Linked DNA regions of Cricetulus griseus. The protein of the gene in region 2 interacts with the protein of the main gene of each other region in a biochemical or structural test. Links are inferred from orthologs where the notes say so. Each region holds a gene or a part of one and is shown on either strand. Other genes may lie near its edges.

Region 1 (4,768 bases), on a different chromosome or scaffold from region 2:
TGGAGGGGAAGCGTGAAAACAGAAATTTTATTAAAAATGAAAGATTATCAGGTCACCACTCCCAGAATGTATCAAGTTTCCCTAAACTTACAGATAATGTTTTCCCAGATCCAGTCTGAGCTACTCCAACCATATCCAATCCACTTAGAGCAACTGGCCAGCCCTGAGCTTGAATAGCAGTGGGTTCAGTGAAATTCTGCCTTGCAATCACATCCATGACATTTGCTGTAAAACCAATAATACCATTTTTAGCAAAAACCCTACGCAAGAAGAGGGAACAAATGAAAAGAATTGAGATGAAAATTAGTCCTTACCAGGGAAGTTTGCTTCATAAAAATTCAGAACAGGCTTTGGACAGTTGTGACCCCGAACTGTAATTTCCTTGCTTCTTCTGTATGTATCTACCTCTTGCTGAAAAACAAATGACCCCAGTCTCAAACCTCAGCCAACTGCACTGACAAGTCCCCTACAGCTCAGCAGCAATTTTTATGTACTTAAAACACTCACCTAGGGCAGGGCCTTAGTGGTGCACACCTTTAATCCTAGCACTCGGGAGACAGAGGCAGGCAGATCTCTGAGTTTGAGGCCAGTCTGGTCTCTAGATCGAGTGCCAAGATAGGCTCTAAAGCTACACAGAGAAACCCTGTCTCGAAAACCAAAAAGTCTCACTATGTAGCCCAAATAGGCTGATTGGCTTGCCTGTCTCCCCAGTGATGGGAATTAAAGACTAGTGCCATAACACCTGGCCAATACACATTTTTTTTTTTTTTACCCTCTGGTGCTTCGAGACAGGGCTTCTCTGTATTGTTTGAGCCTGCCTCTATCTCCCGATTACTGGGATTAAAGGCGTGCTCCACCAGCGCCTGGCTCAAATAATTTTTACACTAGATTCAATGGACACATTTGGAAACCACACCACAAATAATAATTTGAATTCGAGACATTTGCAAGGCACCTGTCAGCTTCAATCCAATTGAGTAGAAGCTGTTAGCCAGTAAAAGCCACATTAAATCACTCACTGCGGTGCGTCTTGCCAAATCAGGGTGTTCCTGATAAAAATTCTTCTCAAATTTGGGCAGCTCATCCAGATTCCACTTCTTTTTAACTAGTTTCTCCCCAGGATTTCCAAACTTCTTTCCAGAGAGGGGTCCTGTTCTGCTCCCTCCGAATCTTGGTGCACCAAATCTACAGGGGGGGGGAAGCCACATTGTAAAAAAGTTCTGTTATGTTTGCACTCACATTTTATTTAATGTCTTTTGATATAAAGCCAAAGTGCATTTCTGGAATCCCTCCCAATTGTCAATTCTAGACAGCAACAACTGGCACAATATATTTTTACTATAGTCCCAAGCACACACTATTGATGCCAAACAAGCAGCTTGGATTTACCAGGTCGGCTGCCCAAACATCTGAAGTTCAGATTACAAGGACAGATAACAGCCTGAGGCTCCATATACCCTCCCCACAGGGCTTAGGAATTAGGAGCTGGGCAAGAAGGGAGGAGCTTAACAAGGTTATTTTTGCCACTGTTTCCGACCAAAGGAACTGATTCTTAAAGAAAACGGCGCCGAGCAGGCGATGTGGGCAGGTGAACGAGGAAGGTGTTGCGGGTAGGGCAGCAAGGGGCGAACTCGCCGCGAACCGCAGCTAATCAAGGTAGCAAAATTACATAACGCGAGGGGAAGGAAAAAAAAAAAAAAAGAGGAGGAGCCGGCGACAACCGGGGGAGGAGTCCCGGGCCGGGCTGCGTTCCCGCTGGGGCGGCGCTTCCTTCTTTGTCTCGCATTTCTCTCTGCGCCACATTTTCTCGACGCTGCCATTTTGAGCGCCTCTGCCGGGCGGGGTAACAAAGGCGCCGCCGCCATGTCCGAGGCCGGCATTTTGTGGCCGCCGCTCGGCCACATGGCTCAACCCGCCGACGTCGGCCACCCTCCACGGCACGGATGGCCTCGAAAGCGACCCCTCCGCTCCCCGGTAACACCGGGGGCCCCCAAAACACCCGCCGGAAGGTTGCACCGAACAACGCCTCGGAGCCGCCTCAAAGGCGCGGCGCTTCCTCGTCCTACACTACAACCCTCCTCGGAGATCCCCGCGACAGCCGCGGGGTCGCCACGGGACCCGAGCCTCCCAAACCAAAAAAAAAGCCAGGCGGAGCCCAACTCCTGGGAGCGCCGCCCCTAACGTCTTTTAATCAGCTGGGATAACAACAACAAAAATAAAAACCCTCAAGGCCTCCTTCCTGAAAACCCCAGGGTCGGTCGGTTGGAAACCCGAGCGCCGCCCGCCCGCCCGCTCGCTCGCTCGGCCGGCTGCCCATCCCCCACCCGCTAGCCTGACAGGTCCCTTGTCACACTCACCCTCGATCCCGGCCGCGGTCTCGGTCGCTGGAGTAACTCGACATGGCGTCAATGGTTGCGGTGAGCGGGAAAGACCCAGTGAAGGACAACCCAGTCGCGACGAGTCGCTGAGAGGAGGCCTCGGCGACGGCGAAGCCTTTGCGGGGGCGTCACCGGCGGAGGGACGGGCGGTGACGAAGCCGGAGCTGTAAACCCGAGGGCCGAGGGAAATGAATGAGGTGCCGGCTGCGTCCCGGCGGCCGCTTTTATAGTCTGGACCGCCTCCTCGCCGCAGAGGATGCTGGGAGCCGCTCTATGACCTCATCGCCCCACCCCCCTCCCCCCGGCGGGAGGCCTCAACGCCCGCTGGCGTTCGGGAATCCGCCATGTCCGCGCCCCTCCCCCCGCGGGCGCTCCCTCACAGGCGCCCGTTTATGACCCCCTTCCCGGCGGGGTGACACCGCTAGGGCGCCTCGCCCCGCACTCGTGTGGCTTCCCCGCGGCCAGCCGGCCATTACAATGGCCCGCACCAGCCAGCCAGCCCGTCGTCTCCACCTGAAGAAGATGTTTACGTCTCCACAGGCTCCCCCACGCCCATGACCGAAGAAGCCGGGGAGGTGGAGCCTGCCGTTGTCACGTGGTTGCACCTCAGGGCTAGGCGGGCCGCACTACTTCTCCGCTTGGCCTCGGCGGAGGAATACCTTCCCGCAGACTCACCGGAAGCGCGGCTCCGAGGCCCCGGGGAGAGCGGCCGGGCTGCTGGGTGACCCGGCTGCCTGGCCGGCCGAGCTGAGAGCCCTCAAGCGGGATCGGGCCCGCGGGGAATGGTATCTAGAGCCCGCAAACCGCCGCCGAAGCGCGTGCCGCGAAAGGAAGTGCTTCTCCGATGACCAATCAGCGGCGAGAAGCCGTTTTAACGTCCCGCCCTCTTCCAGCCCTCCTTCCCGGCTCTCTGGTTCCTACCCCCTCCTCCCCGGCTCGGCCCCCCCGCCCCGCCCGGCCCGGCCCGGCCCTTGCAGGACACCGTCGCCAGCGCTCGCTCCCTCGCTCGCTCGCTCTCGTCTCGGAGTCCGGCCGCGACCTTTCTTGGCAGTATGGCCAGCTCAGAGGCTGGTGAGTCTCGGCCTGGAGCCCTAGTGTTTGCGCCCTGCGGCATCCAGCTGGCCGCGGGCCGACCCGAACCGTGTCTGGGCTTCTGGAGAGGCTCGTGACTGTCGCACAGTAGTGGCCATCGCGGGGGAGTGGGCGGGCGCCTCTGAATTTAGGGTCTAGTCGTGGAACGGACAATTGGGATGTGGCCGAGGGGTTCGGTTCGCTGGCGAGGCTGGGACACCCGCATCCTGTCTTTACAGAGCAGTAAAGGACCCTTCTCTGGGACATTAGACACAGGCTGTGTCTCCTCTTTTGCTTTGTAGGGACTAAGGCGGAATGTTCTTCTGTATTGATTTTTTTTTTTTTTTGAGGCATCGCACTCATAAGAGCTTTTGATGTCCTCTAGAGTAAACGGCTTTGTCTAATACTGCCTTTGAAAAGCCAATTGATTCGGTTGTCTAGGACGCCTTGCCTCCTCCCCAGGACAGCATACAAAATGGTTGTCATGGCTTGGTTCTAAAGTGCCTTGCCTTTAATAACCAATCATTTTAGGATACAGGTGTTTCAAGCTTTCGGATTATTGCTGAAACCCTTAAACTTGGTCTTGCACTATATAGGGGAGGGCAAGAACCGTTTTTTAAAAAATGGAGAACTTGAGCAGTATTAATGTGCTAGTTCAGAGCTAGCTCTGTGTTTGTGTTTTCCTCATATTTACCTCCTTATACAGCAAATACAATAAAAAGAAAACAATTGCATTAGTGTTGGTGTGGTCGTTATTCCAGTTTCTAATAGCCTCAATTAATCACTTGTTTGGGCACCAAGAGATCTTAACTTACACAAGATAATTGCATAAAACTATTGGGAATTTGGAGCCACCTAGGTCAGATTCAGGCAACTTCAGATTATCATTTACAACTATCTTAAAACATCCCTGCTCATCTATAAGTGTAACTAAAAACACCTTTATGTAAGTACTACAAAGATACTGGTAGATGGGATCTTAGCTTGCAAAAGTGAAAGTTGGACTGACACAATAGTTTTGACTGTGTAGAAGCTAGCACTGGAAGTCATCCCAGGAAATTAAGAACATCTTTTGAAAATTATTTTCCAGTTGAGTATTTGCAATTACATGACAAAAGCCCTTATCTTCTACAGTTTTTAATGTATATACTTTTTCTATTGCTATTGAAGACTGATTCCCCCCTCCCTTCTTCCCCAACAGAATGGGTACAAATGGCCAATAACCTTCTTTTTAAATGTCACATACACCTGAGGATACATGAACTTGAAGACTGTGATGCTAATGTTTTTATTGCGCTTTATCAGTCCATTTTGGGAGA
Region 2 (4,626 bases):
GGATCCAGAACTGCTGATGGTGACTGCCTGAGAGCTGGGAGTCAAGGTAGCTGCAGAAACACTGTTGACAGGCAGCAAGGTGATGTTCCCATTCAGGGCCACTGGAACGTTGGTCACATACTGAGTCTGTCCTGAGAGCACATTATTTGCAAGGCCTTGGAGGGGGACAGCCTGCTGGAGTAGATTTGGCATAGCAGCAATTATGTTGCCCCCACTTCCTCTATTTGTGATGATCTGTTGGTTTGCACCCGGTATGATCTGTATTTGACCAGAACCATCCTGCTGCACTTGAGCCCCAGTGGCAGCAAACTGCAGCTGCTGCCCATCAACAGTCTGGAACTGTGGGATTACTTGATACTGAATATTAGGCATTACTCCAGGTAGACCTGTCAGAACTTGCTGGTTTTGTAAGTTGGGGGTAGCAGCCACAACATACTGCCCACCAGAGACTGTACGATTCTTGGAAGACTCGCTGCCATTGCTGCCATTGGTACTGTTGCCACTCTGTTCCTTTGAGGTAGGGGTAGCCCCAGAGGAGGAAGAGATGATCTGCCAGCCATTGGCACCCTGTGAAAGTTGTGTGGCTGTGAGGTCAAGTTCACCTGTGCCCCCTGACTGACTCGGACCCTGGGAGTTGTTGCTGTTCTCATTGGGTGACTCAATTCTGCTGCAGGTTGCTGCCAGCAGAGCCAAAGGAGATGGCTGGGATTCCTGGCCAGAAGAGAGGAAAGGAGTTAGTGGCACCCAATAGCCTGCCTAGGGGGCAGTATTCAACAGACAAACAGCAACAATGCAGGCATATAAAGAGCAAAAACCAGAAATAAAATGCTGACTTTTGTGTACTGTTCCAACTTTCTTATTTGGGGACCCTCTAGATCATCTATCTTTCTGTGTGTACTTCACTACTGTATTTTTTTTCTCCCAGCTTTTTGATTAAGGAACTTTCTAAGAATATTTACACCCTCAACACCTTCCCCACCTTTGACTGATCACTCACCTGCCCTCCTCCGACACCACTGCTGCTGCTACTGCCTGTGCTGCTGCTCCGAGTCTGAGAAAAAGATGCACCACCACCATTACCGTTACCCCCGTTATTGCCACCAACACCTTTTTCAATCTTCACGGCTGTCACTTCATCCATGGAGTGATCTTGATCTAAAAATAATTACAAAACAATAACTTAAAGTGGAAGAAGGAGAAAAAAAATCACCCAAAGGTTTAAAATAAGGCTCTGATAACCAGCCTAATGACTAATAGAATGTTTAAAAGCAGAGTAAAAAAGGAAATAGGGCCAGATATAGATATGGTGATAGGCCTGAAATCTCAGAATTTGGAAGTGGAGGCAAGAGGGACATGGAGGCAAGAGAAATAAGAGTTCAAAGAAATTTTCAGTTACATCAGTTGAGATGCCAGCATCTCATGCCAGGCATGCAGAACAGGCATGTGCCTCAATGGTGTCCAAGATGGGCCACTATTTCCCCATGTACAAAATTAAAGTCAAAAACCATTCAAAAAGCGCTTTGGGCTGGGCAGTGGTGGCGCACGCCTTTAATCCCAGCACTCCGTAGGCAGAGGCAGGTGGATCACTCTGAGTTTGAGACCAGCCTGGTCTACAAGAGCTAGTTCCAGGACAGCCTCCAAAGCCACAGGGAAACCCTGTCTTAAAAAACCAAAAAGAAAGCGCTTTCGAGCTGGATGGTGGTGGTGGCAGCAGTGAAGGCACACACCTTTAATCCCAGCACTTAGGAGGCGGAGGCAGGCAGATCTCTGTGACTTCAAGGCCAGCCTAGTCTGCAGAGTGAATTCCAGGACAGCCTTCAAAGCCACAGAGAAACCGTGTCTCAAACCCCCATCCCCACCCCCACCCCCCAAAAAAGTGCTTTGGAAGCCAGGCATGGTGACTCACACCTGTTCATCAGTTCTAAGTCTATCTGGACTAGAGTGAGACCTGGCCTTAAACAAGACAAATAGCATTTCTGAAAAAGGGAATTTGAGGGCAGTATCTCAGGAATACTAGTTGCCCCTAGTGTTGGCATGGCACACTCTGTAATCTCAGCACTCAGGAGGAAGAGGCATGAGGATGGCTAAAAGTTTAAGGCCAGCCTGGTTTTCATAGTACCACACAGACCCTGTCTCAAAAGTAAAAAAAAAAAAGCATTCTGGGAGGAAGAAGAGACCCAACATGTGGTTGGATGGAAAAATGTGCTAAAATTAGGATTAAGAGAGATGGAGAAAGACCAAGTGTAAAGCTAAATAAATAAAAACAGGAACAGACAGAGTACATCATAAGTACCGATAGGGACACTTCTGAGGATACAGGTAAGGGGCTAAAGTGGTCTAGGGCTTAGAACCCAGGTTTGGGGCTGAGAGGGCGGGCCTTAGAAGGAAGGGGCGTTTTCGGGGTGAGGGGCGTGGAAAGGGCGGGTCAGATGGGGGAAGGGAAATGTTCGGGGGTGCGGGGGAGGGCCTGGGGCAGGCAGTGACCGGAGGGCGGACCGGGGAGGCGGTTGGCCCAGGCGGGGCCTGCACTGGTCGGGCCGCCCCCGCGGCGCCAGCCCCCGACGGGAGGAGCCTCAGGCGGCAGGCCGAGTAGTGGGGGGTAAGGCCCGTCCCCCGTGGCCGGGGCGGGCAGGGGGCGGGCGAGGCCACGCTGCCCCCTCCCCCGGGGCGGGTGGCCCATCCCCCTCCTCCTCCGAGGCCCCGCGACTGCCCCTTCTCCCTCCCTTCCCTCCGCCCCGGGCGGGACCAAGGCCGCCGCCGCCGCCTCCCGCCCGCCCCCCCTCACAGCGGGGACCGCCCGGTCGGCCCTCGCGCGCGCCCCCTCACTCCCCTCCCACCCCTAGGCATGGAGTGGACTCATCCTTACCGCTCATGGTGGCAGCTGAGGGGCGAGCTCAAGGGGGTCCTGTCCGGGGGGGTTGGGGGGGGCCAGGAAAAACGCGGACGCTGACGAGGCAAGCGAACCCGGACCGGACAGGGAGGGGGGGTAAGGAGGAGGGAGCAGCGCGCCACAAGCCCGGCCTAGTCTCCGCCCCTTATCTGCTGCCCCGCCCAATGAAGGAGGGAGAAAGGAGAGCCTTGCAGTAGAAAGGCGGGCAGACGACCCAATGGGAAGACTCGTTCCCTCGCAAAGGCGGGTAAGACCAACTTGCGTGCTGGTGTCCGCCTTAAAAGGCCGCCCTCTCAGCTCTAACAGCCAATAAAAGCTTCAGGAAGTGAGAGTGGGCGGGACATAAGGAAGATCGACTTGGAGAGAAACCAGTGATTCGCCGGGCGGGCTCCGTGAACGGTGGTGATAGGACGAGCTTAGGAAGGAGTGACAGGACAAGGACCAATTAGAATCTTGAGCATGCCGGGGCAAAGTCCGTTTAGTAGGAGAGTAAGAAATAGGCCGGAATGGGATAGGATCAAGCTATCTAAACCAATCAGGATTCAGGCGGGCAGTTAAGAAAGTTCTGATTGGTCAATAACTGAGACGATCCGGAACAGGATGCATATTGACATGAGCTCACAGCCAATTAGACGCCGAATAAAAGGCGAAGGCTGGAACTTGGAATGGGGAGAGGAGACCTGGCTTCCTCCTCAGATACTCAGGCCAATGAGGGGAAGAAAAAGCCCTGGCACCGCCTCTAGCTTGGCCAATGGTCGTTTGTGGGGCCGCCCATCGTGAGGAGGGAACAGGGGCTGTGCCAAAAGGAGTTCGTCGCCATGTTGGCCCTGCTCGGGAGACTTCCTTACGTCGTTAGGTTGTACACTCCAGCTGAGCCCTGCAGCTCTACAAGTGTCCCTGCCGAGGCGGGCGAGCGCCGCGTGTTTCGCCACACGGGATCGCTCCAGTTTTCACATCTCGCACCCGACACCCTCTCGAATCCCACCCCTGCAGGGGTGGGTGGGCGGCTCCCCCTGGCCGTGGGTGGAAGCCCTGCGGCGGCGGGCGGGACGAGAGCTTGGTGACGGCCCTCGAGAGCTCAGTCAGTTCTGAGCTCACCAATATGGAAGGCTTTCGGGAAACTCTAGCAAACGCCATTTTCTTAAGCTGTCCCGAACGCGCTAAGTCGAGGGCCCAGAACTCTTTGAGACTGACTAGAAAACTTCCGGGATCAAAGCTCTCCTAAACTACTCCCTTTTCACTTCGTTACTCGTAAACACCGCTTCAGCAGAAAGCACAGTAACCTAGTTACTTCCTTTTGCAATCACAAAGGTTCACGATTTTGCCCCAGGCACTTCAATCCTCGGCTTCCATTTTGCCTCCAAAAACCTTTAGCACTTACAGTGAATACTACTAGCTGAATTCTCCTTTAGACAGCTTAAAGCACTTTGAAGATAGAAACTGAGGTATCTGCTGCCTCTGAGGTGGCCTAGGAAAAAATAAGTGACAGCTCAGTTATCTGTGCTGGATGTCCCAGTTAGATAAGCATTTAGTACTACTTATGTCAAGCTCATAAGAAAAATATTGTCAGACATGGTGGCCCATACCTTTAATTCTAGCACTTGGAAGGCAAAAGCAGGAGGAACTCTGAATTCGAGGCCTACCTAGTCTAAATAATGAGCTCTATATGCAGAAAGGTCCTGTCTCAAAACAACAACAATGAAAATTAAGATAAAAAATTAACTATCAAGGCGTTG
Region 3 (4,876 bases), on a different chromosome or scaffold from region 2:
GTTTTCACCCAGTTTTCTAAGATTAGACTCAACAGCTCAGACTATTACTTGTCCCTACTATCTATCAAAATTATACCTACTTTTAAACATCCATCTCAAAACCCAGCCTTTTCTTTAAAAAAAAAAAAACATTTTTATTATGTGTGTTCATATATATGCATATATGTGCATACACACAGGTTCCCACAAGAGGTCAGAGGCATCAGATTACCTGGAGCTGGAGTTACTGGCTGTTAGGAACTGAATTCCAGTAGGAACTAAGCTGAGCACCCACCACCCAATCTTATCTTTTTGTCTTCTACATAAGGAAGGGGAATCTAACCAAAATAGGCACAATTTCCAATGAACTACTTTAGGGAAAACCCTGCTAAAGGATAGCTGAAAATCCCTTAAACATTTTTTCATGGTTTTTAAAATTATTTTTTTAGTATGTTTATGTACATATGAGTTTTCTTTGAACCACATATGTGCAGATGCCCTTGGAAGTCAGAGGGTCACCTAATGTAGATGCTGGGATCTGAAGATGGTCTTGATTGTTAAGCCTAGCTTTTTAAAAGATCACAACTATTCAAGCAGGCATTTAAGGTCAAGATGTTCTCCATAAACCCAGCTAATGATCAAATGCTAATGACCTATAATTAAAAATATTCTACAAATACTAAGATGTTATCAACCTGGAGATAAAAGGATGGATCCAGGATTCAAATTCCAATTGTACCTGCATTTTTTATTTGTTTGTTTTTTTTTTTTGAGACAGAGTTTCTCTGTGTAGCTTTGGAGCCTGTCCTGGCACTCCCTTTGTAGACCAGGCTGGCCTGAACTCACAGAACACATGCCTCTGCCTCGCCTCCTGGGATTAGAGGTGTATGCCGCCACCACCACCTGGTCTACACTTTTCTTAAAATTAAAATTTGTATTTTTAAATTTAATTTATTTCACAAATATGGGTATTTCCCTCAAATTTGTGTCTAAGGAACATCTGATCCTCTAGAACTGGAGTTACTGACAGTTGTGAGCTTGCAGGTGGGTACTGGGACTAGAACCCAGAGCTGCAACTGCTCTTCACTGCTGAGTCATCTCCCCAGCCCCTAAAATTTGAATTTTAAAGAGAACTTTGCACAGCAGCTGTAAACTTCAAAGGTTAAGTAACTCCACAGCAGCAATAGCACCAGAATCTAAATAATCCATCTTATCAAACAGAGGTGGTTGTGGGGAGTCCAAATGACATATCCTCAATTTTTGTGCCTATTTAAAATAAGCTAGTTTTTAAAATAAATGAAACTATAACTGGCAATCTTCAGTATAATAAGAGAGTTACTGGCATGCAGGTACAAGAGCAGCAATATGTGCAAGACAGATGTGAAGGGGAAGTACTTTTTTAAGTACTCCTTTATAAGTCTTTAATTGTGACCTAATTTAATTTGTTTTGACTCCCAAGACCAGTTCACCTTTATCTTCATAGTTGTACACTGTGAGTCTTTTTAAAAAGAACGTTAATTATTCTATCTAGTTAAGACAGTTGGTGGAAAACACGTCTTTCCTACCATTTCTAAAATTATGACCATTCAAATTTGAATGCATTTCTGAAATAGACTTGCTCATCAGGAAAATATGCTAAAGTTCCAAGATTATTACTAACATTAAAGAAAGGCATGTGTAATGACTGAAGAGCTGCAGCATTTGAAACAGGATCTGTCTATAATCAGAGCCTGGTTCTAGTCCTTCGCCCTTGGGAAAGGACTTCCTTTCTATACCTTATCTGAAAGAGGGTATCTTTTTCCTCAAGATGGCTATCCAGACAAAATTAAACTATTCGGATAGCAGAGTATCTCAGAGACCTTCAATAAATTAGTTTTCTTCATTTAGCACAAAAGACACAAATTTAGGGGTAAGAAAACCTACTCCCACAAGTTTTCAGTACAAAACACAAATACTTGTTCCAGTAAAAACAACACACTTCATCATTCCACAATCAGGTGAGAAATCCTACAAGTGACCATGCAAAATTAGGTCTGAAAATACTCGATGGTAACGAAGGAGTTAAAGTCAAATTAGGCCCAATTCCAAATACATCTTAATAACTCTTTAAGAGTGATGCTAGCTTATCCTTCCTGCAACGCAACGATATTTACATCCATTTTGAAACTTCAAGATTTAAATATCCTCACAACCAACGCTGGTGTCATTAATGCTTTTTAGAAAGCCTAAGTTGGAACGCATCATTAGCTCCACTGAAGATATTTTGTGAAAGCTGTTCACGTATACACAAGGAAGGGAAGAAAAATATTTTGGTGTTCAGCACACAAGCCGAGGATTCTCGCTTGCAAAACCACGGCCGCCTCCACCACCACCGACAAGCCTGTGATGGAATTCCTGGTTTTACGATCTAATGTCAAAGAAGGCGGCTATAATGCCATAAATTAGGGGACACGGTGCACTTCCGTTCCCGTCCCAAGGGAGAAGACTCCAAAGTACGAGCTTGAGACCAAGTCCTCGGGTCCTGACCTCAGTGTGGGGTGCCCCTCCAACGGCAAACGAGGGGCAGCCCAGGAAGCACCCCAGCAACAACTAAGCCTCGACGGGCTCCGTGATTGTGGACCAAAGAGGAGTCAGGGGTCCAGGTCGCTGCAGAACGCGAGGCCAAGGCGCGGGAAGGGCCGCGGCTGCGTCCAGAACAGCCAGGGGCACAGGCAGGGGTGACCGGGTGAGGCCGAGCTTGCAAACCGGAGTAGACACTCACCAAACCATGCCGTAGGCGCCCTCTCCGATGTACGAGAGGTTGGTGTAGCGCGGCCCCACGTCGAACACCTGCCCGCGGACCATCTCCGGGCCCGCCGCCGCCGCCGCCGCCATGTTGGCTGCCTAGTCGCCGCCGCCGCGCTGGGCTCGACGCTTCGCGGCCGCCGCTCGGCTTGTGCAGCGCCTCCCGCAGGGACCGCGCTGCCACCCGTGTAGCCGCCGCCGCCCGCGACCGGGAACGCGGAACGAAGACAACACAGAGCAAAGAACTGACCGCCAGTGAACCACTGCCTGCCTTCCTGCCTGACGGGCGGGCAGCGAGCGGGAGGAGGGAGGGGCTGGCGTCGAGGGGCGCTGGGGCGGAGTCAAGGGCGTGAGCGCTGATTGGCTCCTCGCGGCGCTGGGCGGGGTCTCGAGGGCCGGCGGAAGCAGCGAACTGAGGCAGGAGCACTGCGGCTGCGGGGGAGGGCCGTCACGTGCGTTTGGAGAACCGGGCGTTCAGTTTGTTTGGTGGCTCTTGAAAGCCTGGTGGAAACCTGGGCGTAACGACCCCACAGTGTGTCCGACCGCTGTGCGGTGCCCAGGACGAACTCATGTGGAACCAGGCACTTGGCGTGAGACCGGAGGACTCAGCATACACCAAGCAATGGACCCCTGAGACAGGCCTCTGGGAATCCGTGGCCCTCACACTAATGAACTTAGACTGCCAAACTGGGACAGAAACCAAAAAGCATGACCCAGACTCAGAAAGATATTTTCACACCTAAAAAGTGTGAGACATAAGTGGAAACCAAAACACAAGGCATTGAATCCCCTAATTAGAGGTTTGTTCAAGAAGATTTGCTGAATACTTCTCCCTTCTAGGGTGAAGAGACAGACAAATACGATGCTCACTTAACTAAGTGCTGTGAACAATTAAAAACTGGAGGGAAGGTTTACAGAGTTGTGGGTGAGGACGCTGGAGAAAGACTGAAATCCAGGGACTGGACCCAGGTGTTGTGTAACCGTTTCCTGCGAGATTGAAACATTCTATCCTGCAGAGAAACTCCTTAAACAGGAAAGTAAACGGCACAAAGGAACTTTGGGAGTCCTTGAAACTGACCAGATTCACCGGGTTACTCCTTGCTGGAGTAAGCAATAAAAGTTGAGAATCCCTGTTCGATGAACTCCACGGAGCTGCAAAGAAGACTCAGCCAAACTGCTTAGAAGAAGCAGAAATCAGCCTCCTGCCTCCTGCCTGGAAGAGGTCTAGACCAACTTAAATAGCTGGAGGACACTCTTCAACTTTGCTGGTATCCATACTCATCTGTAGTGACTAGGTGTGTATTGTGTCTTCTCAAGAAGTGTTTTGTCACACAACACCAGCTTGGTACAGATGAGCAGAAACCCAGATGGGCGTACTGAAATATAGCACAGTTAGAATGGCTGAAACATCTGAACAAGTTGTGGGTCAGAACCAGTCAGAAACACGAATGAACCCGAAGAAAATTGTAATCTTAAAGTAGGTGGGTGCCAAGGAGAGCAATGGTAAGATAGTGAATGACACAGTTTGTCTCTCAGGCATTACTACCCTGTCGTCCCTGGACGCAGACTCCTCTGTGGCCAGCAAATGAGATCTTAGACATCAATAAAGATCTTAAAGGCAATCTTAAAGATAAAAAAAAGGTAAATGTTTAAAAATAAAGAGAGGAACTGGAGGTGTCCCTCAGTAGAGTGCATGCTTAGCCTGTAGCAGGTCTTTGATTCTTTTTGCAACACTAAAGGAACAAAATCCTGCAGGGGAAAAAGAAACAAAGCACTAGAATTTAAAATTAGTCCTTCAAGCCGGGCAGTGGTGGCGGCACATACCTTTAATCTCATGACTTGGGAGGCAGAGGCAGGCAGATCTCTGAGAATTCAAGGCCAGCCTGGTCTACAGAGCTAGTTCCAGGACAACCATGACTATTATATAGAGAAACCTTGTCTCGGAAAACAAAAACAAAAGTTTTTCAAAATGTATTAGGCCACTCAGCAGAATCCTTTTTAGAAGACAATACCATCGCTCTATTAAGATATTTTTTTAAAGAACAGGATAAATGGATAGTACCATGAAATTAAAACCACATTAACCAACATAAAAAGTAGCAGTTGAAACAGT
Region 4 (4,644 bases), on a different chromosome or scaffold from region 2:
CCATTTCCCTAAGGTATGTGTGAATATCTTCATGATAGTCGGGTACTTCATTAACATTCACTGGCTTTTCGTCTTCTAAGACAATAGACATGTCCATAGCATGTGGTGATTCTGTGTATGATATTAAAACCAAACTAAAAAGACCATTCTGGCAAAGCAACACAGATCATATATATATGATATATATATATGATATATATATTAGAAAATAGTATCAATAGGCTACTAAGACTTAAAATTACCTTAAATATTATTTTCCACAAATGATGAATAGATGGTACAGTGGTTCTGTTAGGACAGAATACTTATTGTTTTGTCTTAAAAGAGATTATAGATCCCAGAGGCTGACATTCAAATCACAATCAGGGAGTAACAAGAGAATCAGCTAAATGCCGTATTAACAAACGTCAGTGTCAGTAAAGATAGCAAGTTTGTCACATGCATTCAAACAGACTAACTGTAATCTGTTAGGGGTGTGGTGTTTGTGAAAACAGAGTCTTGTTCTGTAGCCCAGGCTGGCAATCCTGCCTCAGTGTCCTGCATGTTAGTTACAGGCATGAATTACACTCACTAGTTATTAGATGTATATGAATTACACTCAGTTGTAATTTTTACCATTTAAATTATTTTTTGAGGTAAAGGATTTCCATTTTTTTCAGAGCACCTTGAGTTAAGAAAAAGCTACAAGATTTATATAAAAATAAATTATTTCTATACCCTTCTTCCCCACCAGTAGAACTAAATAAACTAAAGGGGGCTGGGGAAATGGCTTGGTACAGTGCCTGCTACACAAGCATGAAGATGTGGGTTGCCCAGAACCACACAGAAGCTAGATGTGGCATATCTGTAACCCTGAGACAGGGAAGGAAAGAGGGCTGAGAATAGCCAGTTTCCTGGAGCTTGATGGCCACCAGTCTAGCCAAACCAGTGACCTCCAATGAGACCTTTTTATCAAGAAATGAGATGGAAAAGTAGTTAAAGATATCCCAAAGTCAAGTACACCTCTGGTTTCCACACGTACCAGCCCCGAAAGCATACCCCTCCCCCTGACACACATAGCATAAGGTGGAGAGTGATAAATACCAACATCCTGATAGATAATTACTACACCTGTGGTCTCCACACAGTGAGATCACAACAGCAAAGCTTTCTGCAGCTGCTGCTCTGTCTTCCTTGTGCATTTGTGCCTGACCTGCACCAGATGAACATTCAAATTGATTTTAAAGGGGTGGCAGATACTATAATGCTTAAAACTGTAGCTTCAAGCAGCACTCTCAGGAGTGGCATGTTAAGTGAGTCATAAATACAACTGAAATTTATTCTCCAAACCAAACATTTATGAAGTCAGATTAAAATAACCATTTGAGATCTAATTAAAATTGATAGCTTGCAGTGCCCTTCCTGCCTGTTAAGGATGAGTTCTTTTTGAGGTCAGTAGGTCTGGGTATTAGCCATGAGATCTAAGATACCCTTCTAAGTCCAATGCAGTAATCCTAACCCACTGTGTTATGACCAGGGATGACAGTCTTAGCCGGGCGTGACCATGGCACTCAGAGAGAGGGGCTGCCTGGTCCACAAGTCTAGTTCCAAAACAGAACAGAAACCCTGTCTAGAAAAACAAAACAAAATGACATAGTCTTAAAACTAGAAGTATCACTAACTCAATGATGTAATTATTTTCTTAGTTTCATAAAGATCTTTAAAAATTACCAAGCAGGGTATGGAGTCATAGGCCTGTAATCTAGAATTTGAGACTGAGGCAGGATGATTTGAGTTCAAGACTAGCCATAATTACAGATTGAGACCCTGTCTCAAAAATAAAAAGCAAAACCTTACCAAAGCTACCATCCATTGGATAATCAAGAGGTACCAGTGGTTTTCTTGCTCCAGGTAAAGAGACAGCAGCATTAAAAGCCAGGGCATCTTCACACTGTGTTTCTTTATGTTCAGCTGGCATTTTCTGAGTCTCCTCTTCTTCATCCACATGAATAGTGAAGGCCGGCTGTTTACTGGTTGCTTTCCATGAAGGACCAACGGCGACATGTTCATCGTTTATAGAAAGGTCTTTAAGAGGTGCAACCTAAAAAGGATTTAAAAAGAAATTTGCCTTCTTGCTCCGCGCCCCTCAGCTTTTACTCCCAAATAACTCCGTTAGGAAAAATAAACTTAAGGTAAAGCCCAGATAAGTAGTAGCTTGAGTAATCCAAGATAAAGGTGAACCGGTTTGCCACAGCCATTACTACAAAGGCTATAAATAGGACTGATTGGAACTACAAACTTATCAAGGAATAAGTTTAGGGGAAAGTATTGATTCGCAACTTTAGCTCCAGGGTGGAGCAAACATACAGGTCTGGCTAAAATGGCGGATTTACCAAACAAAATATTGCTTTCTGTCCTTCCTTCCCTGAAGTAGAGGTAATCTGGGAAGCAGATGGTGAGGGGGAAGGGATCCCAAGGCAATGCCCGTCTTTAAAAGTGGAGGGAAAGGCACACAGCTGGGCGAAGTCGACACGCGGGGAGCATCGCTCGGTATGACCCCGGGCATTTTTAGGAATTAGTCTCCACTAGTGTTGAAGGGCAGCACACTCGGCAGGGCTGCTGGGGCTATTTGGTCCTAGAAACAAACTCCGGAACCACGCAGACTGCAGCCCGACTCCCACTAGAAAGCGCAGCGTGCTTTCAGGCCCTCTCGGCTGCTAAACCAGGCCGGCTCCCGCCCGGCCCTCCCACCGACCCCCGCGCCCTTTTACCCGCCGAGTCTTGAGTCTCTGCTGTGGCGCGTTTCCCCGCGCGTTCCCGGCCTTGAGGGCCGCCCGCGCCCGCGGCTGCTGGGCTGGCGCCACCTTCTCGGGGTTGACATTTTCCTGGTCTTCCTGCTGCAGCGAGACCAGGGCTGAGCCCGCCTCGCGACCCGACTGTCTCGAGCTGCCCGGCATCGCGGCTCCGGTCGGGACCCGTCGGCGGCAGAGCGTGCACTGCGCCCGCCGCTCCCGGCTGCGCGGGACCCTGGCGGCCGACGCGCGGAGCAGGCGCTGCGGGCGGCGGGGGGAGGAGCGAAGCCCAGGTGCCGCGAGCAGCGCGCCGGCCGCCGGCTGTTCGTGCAGTTCAAGTAGCCCGCGACTATTGAAATGGACCAATGAGGGCGCCCGGGGCATGTGACGTCACCAGAGCGCCGGGGCGCCGCGAGCTAAGGCCCGACGGGAACCGAGTTGGGCGGGCGCCGGAGGACGCGCCTGCGCGAGGAAGGGTGGGGTGGGCGCCAGCCTCCGGCGACTTCCCGCAGCGTAGCGCGTCTGTAACCCGGAGGCTCACAGGATCCCGCCCGAGCAGCCTGGCGGGCCTGACGAGCCCTCGGGCCTCAAAGTGACAGCGTTCAGGACTCCTAAAAGGAGTAACCACTTCCCTCGTCGCTGGGCGGAGCTTAGGAAGAGCGCACAGAACTCAGCTGACCGACCAGCTCACTTCCGAGGCTCCCTAGCAGAACACTCCTCCCTCCCTCCCCCCCCATCTCTCTCTCTCTGTCTCTGTCTGTCTGTGGTGCTGCCCATAGAACTCAGGAAACCTCTAGTGCTTTTACTGTTTATTTTTGCATCACATCTCCAGTATATATTTTTTGTTTGTTGTTGTTTGAGACAGGGTTTAAAAATGCAGTCCGGATGGTCCTATAACTCACAGACATCCGCCTGTCACTCACTGCCTCACCGGTTCTGGGATTGAAGGCTTGTGTCACTATGCCCAACATTCCAGTAAACTCCATTCTCCCCTCTCATAAGGGATTTAATCAATTTAGAATACCAACTGAAGCTGTTGTTGATAACCATTAAACGAAATGGTGTATTCCAAGAATTAGTTTTGTTTATCCTTGGTTGTGACATCCAACAAATAGCACACCACGAAGTTCCACGGACCCAAATAGATACTACATTTAGAAATAGAGTGCATGGTGGTACGTACCTTGAATCCCAGCTACATAGTGAGACGCTGTCTCAAAAAAAGAAAAAAAGTGTTCATATGAAAAACAGGGGCCTGGGTGTCCCAAGAAAGCTTCCAGAAAATATAAGAAAAAAATACTATGACCTTATTAAAGACCCAACATATGTGCCTTATTTAATATTTAAGAATTGCACGTAAAATATAACAATGTAATTATCACTTTCTGAAAATTTCATAACTTCTTTGAAAACAAGAAACAGAGATTTTCCATTATCTTTATAATATTTTTAAACTTTAAATACAATATTCTCTTGTAAATGAATAAAACTTCTGTTGCTTAAAGTCTTCTTCACCCCCCCCAAATATATAATAAAAAGGAATTTCATGGATACTAGTATAGGAAAATCTTAGAAGCCATCACTCTTCACTTAGATACTTTAAAGCTCAACTGGTTACATGTAGGACATATATCTGAGAGTCCCCCCTGTCTGAGTTCTGCTTACTTCTCTGGCCATAGTCTACAGCACTAAGCCAAATATTTCACAAACTGCAGGAGGATCATGTCATCAAGTAAGAACTGGAGTGTGAATCCATTCCAAATCCTAGAGGGGAAAAAAAAAACTCATTATTTCCACCTCATGATAACACAGAGGAATGGGGTACACATATAAGCTTGCCACAGCCTTATAAAATACTAGCATAGCATCTTAC

The links. The genes of interacting proteins can lie anywhere in the genome.
Region 1: the proteins of Sp1 (region 2) and Ddx5 form a complex in vitro, tested with the Homo sapiens proteins (2 studies listed by BioGRID). The link is inferred for Cricetulus griseus from reciprocal best matches to the Homo sapiens genes SP1 and DDX5.
Region 3: of the proteins of Sp1 (region 2) and Mapk1, one has a biochemical effect on the other in vitro, tested with the Homo sapiens proteins (2 studies listed by BioGRID). The link is inferred for Cricetulus griseus from reciprocal best matches to the Homo sapiens genes SP1 and MAPK1.
Region 4: the proteins of Sp1 (region 2) and Ccna2 form a complex in vitro, tested with the Homo sapiens proteins (2 studies listed by BioGRID). The link is inferred for Cricetulus griseus from reciprocal best matches to the Homo sapiens genes SP1 and CCNA2.

The regions. Positions count from the first base shown.
Region 1 is NC_048600.1:119,732,002-119,736,769, forward strand, and holds the start of Ddx5 (probable ATP-dependent RNA helicase DDX5), read right to left. Parts: upstream 3,069-4,768; 5' UTR 3,054-3,068; intron 2,908-3,053; exon of another isoform or gene 2,892-2,907; intron 2,586-2,891; exon of another isoform or gene 2,543-2,585; 5' UTR 2,402-2,542; coding exon 2,358-2,401; intron 1,186-2,357; coding exon 1,020-1,185; intron 412-1,019; coding exon 315-411; intron 226-314; coding exon 92-225; intron 1-91. Other genes in the region: Cep95 (centrosomal protein of 95 kDa), read left to right, coding at 3,431-3,449, 4,651-4,768. UniProt on the Homo sapiens protein: Involved in the alternative regulation of pre-mRNA splicing; its RNA helicase activity is necessary for increasing tau exon 10 inclusion and occurs in a RBM4-dependent manner. Binds to the tau pre-mRNA in the stem-loop region downstream of exon 10.
Region 2 is NC_048595.1:398,783,629-398,788,254, reverse strand, and holds the start of Sp1 (transcription factor Sp1), read right to left. Parts: upstream 3,122-4,626; 5' UTR 2,874-3,121; coding exon 2,867-2,873; intron 2,431-2,866; exon of another isoform or gene 2,294-2,430; intron 1,156-2,293; coding exon 998-1,155; intron 712-997; coding exon 1-711. UniProt on the Homo sapiens protein: Transcription factor that can activate or repress transcription in response to physiological and pathological stimuli.
Region 3 is NC_048597.1:72,356,592-72,361,467, forward strand, and holds the start of Mapk1 (mitogen-activated protein kinase 1), read right to left. Parts: upstream 3,069-4,876; 5' UTR 2,854-3,068; coding exon 2,741-2,853; intron 1-2,740. UniProt on the Homo sapiens protein: Serine/threonine kinase which acts as an essential component of the MAP kinase signal transduction pathway. MAPK1/ERK2 and MAPK3/ERK1 are the 2 MAPKs which play an important role in the MAPK/ERK cascade.
Region 4 is NW_023276806.1:113,096,347-113,100,990, reverse strand, and holds the start of Ccna2 (cyclin-A2), read right to left. Parts: upstream 3,069-4,644; 5' UTR 2,937-3,068; coding exon 2,751-2,936; intron 2,081-2,750; coding exon 1,837-2,080; intron 112-1,836; coding exon 1-111. UniProt on the Homo sapiens protein: Cyclin which controls both the G1/S and the G2/M transition phases of the cell cycle. Functions through the formation of specific serine/threonine protein kinase holoenzyme complexes with the cyclin-dependent protein kinases CDK1 or CDK2.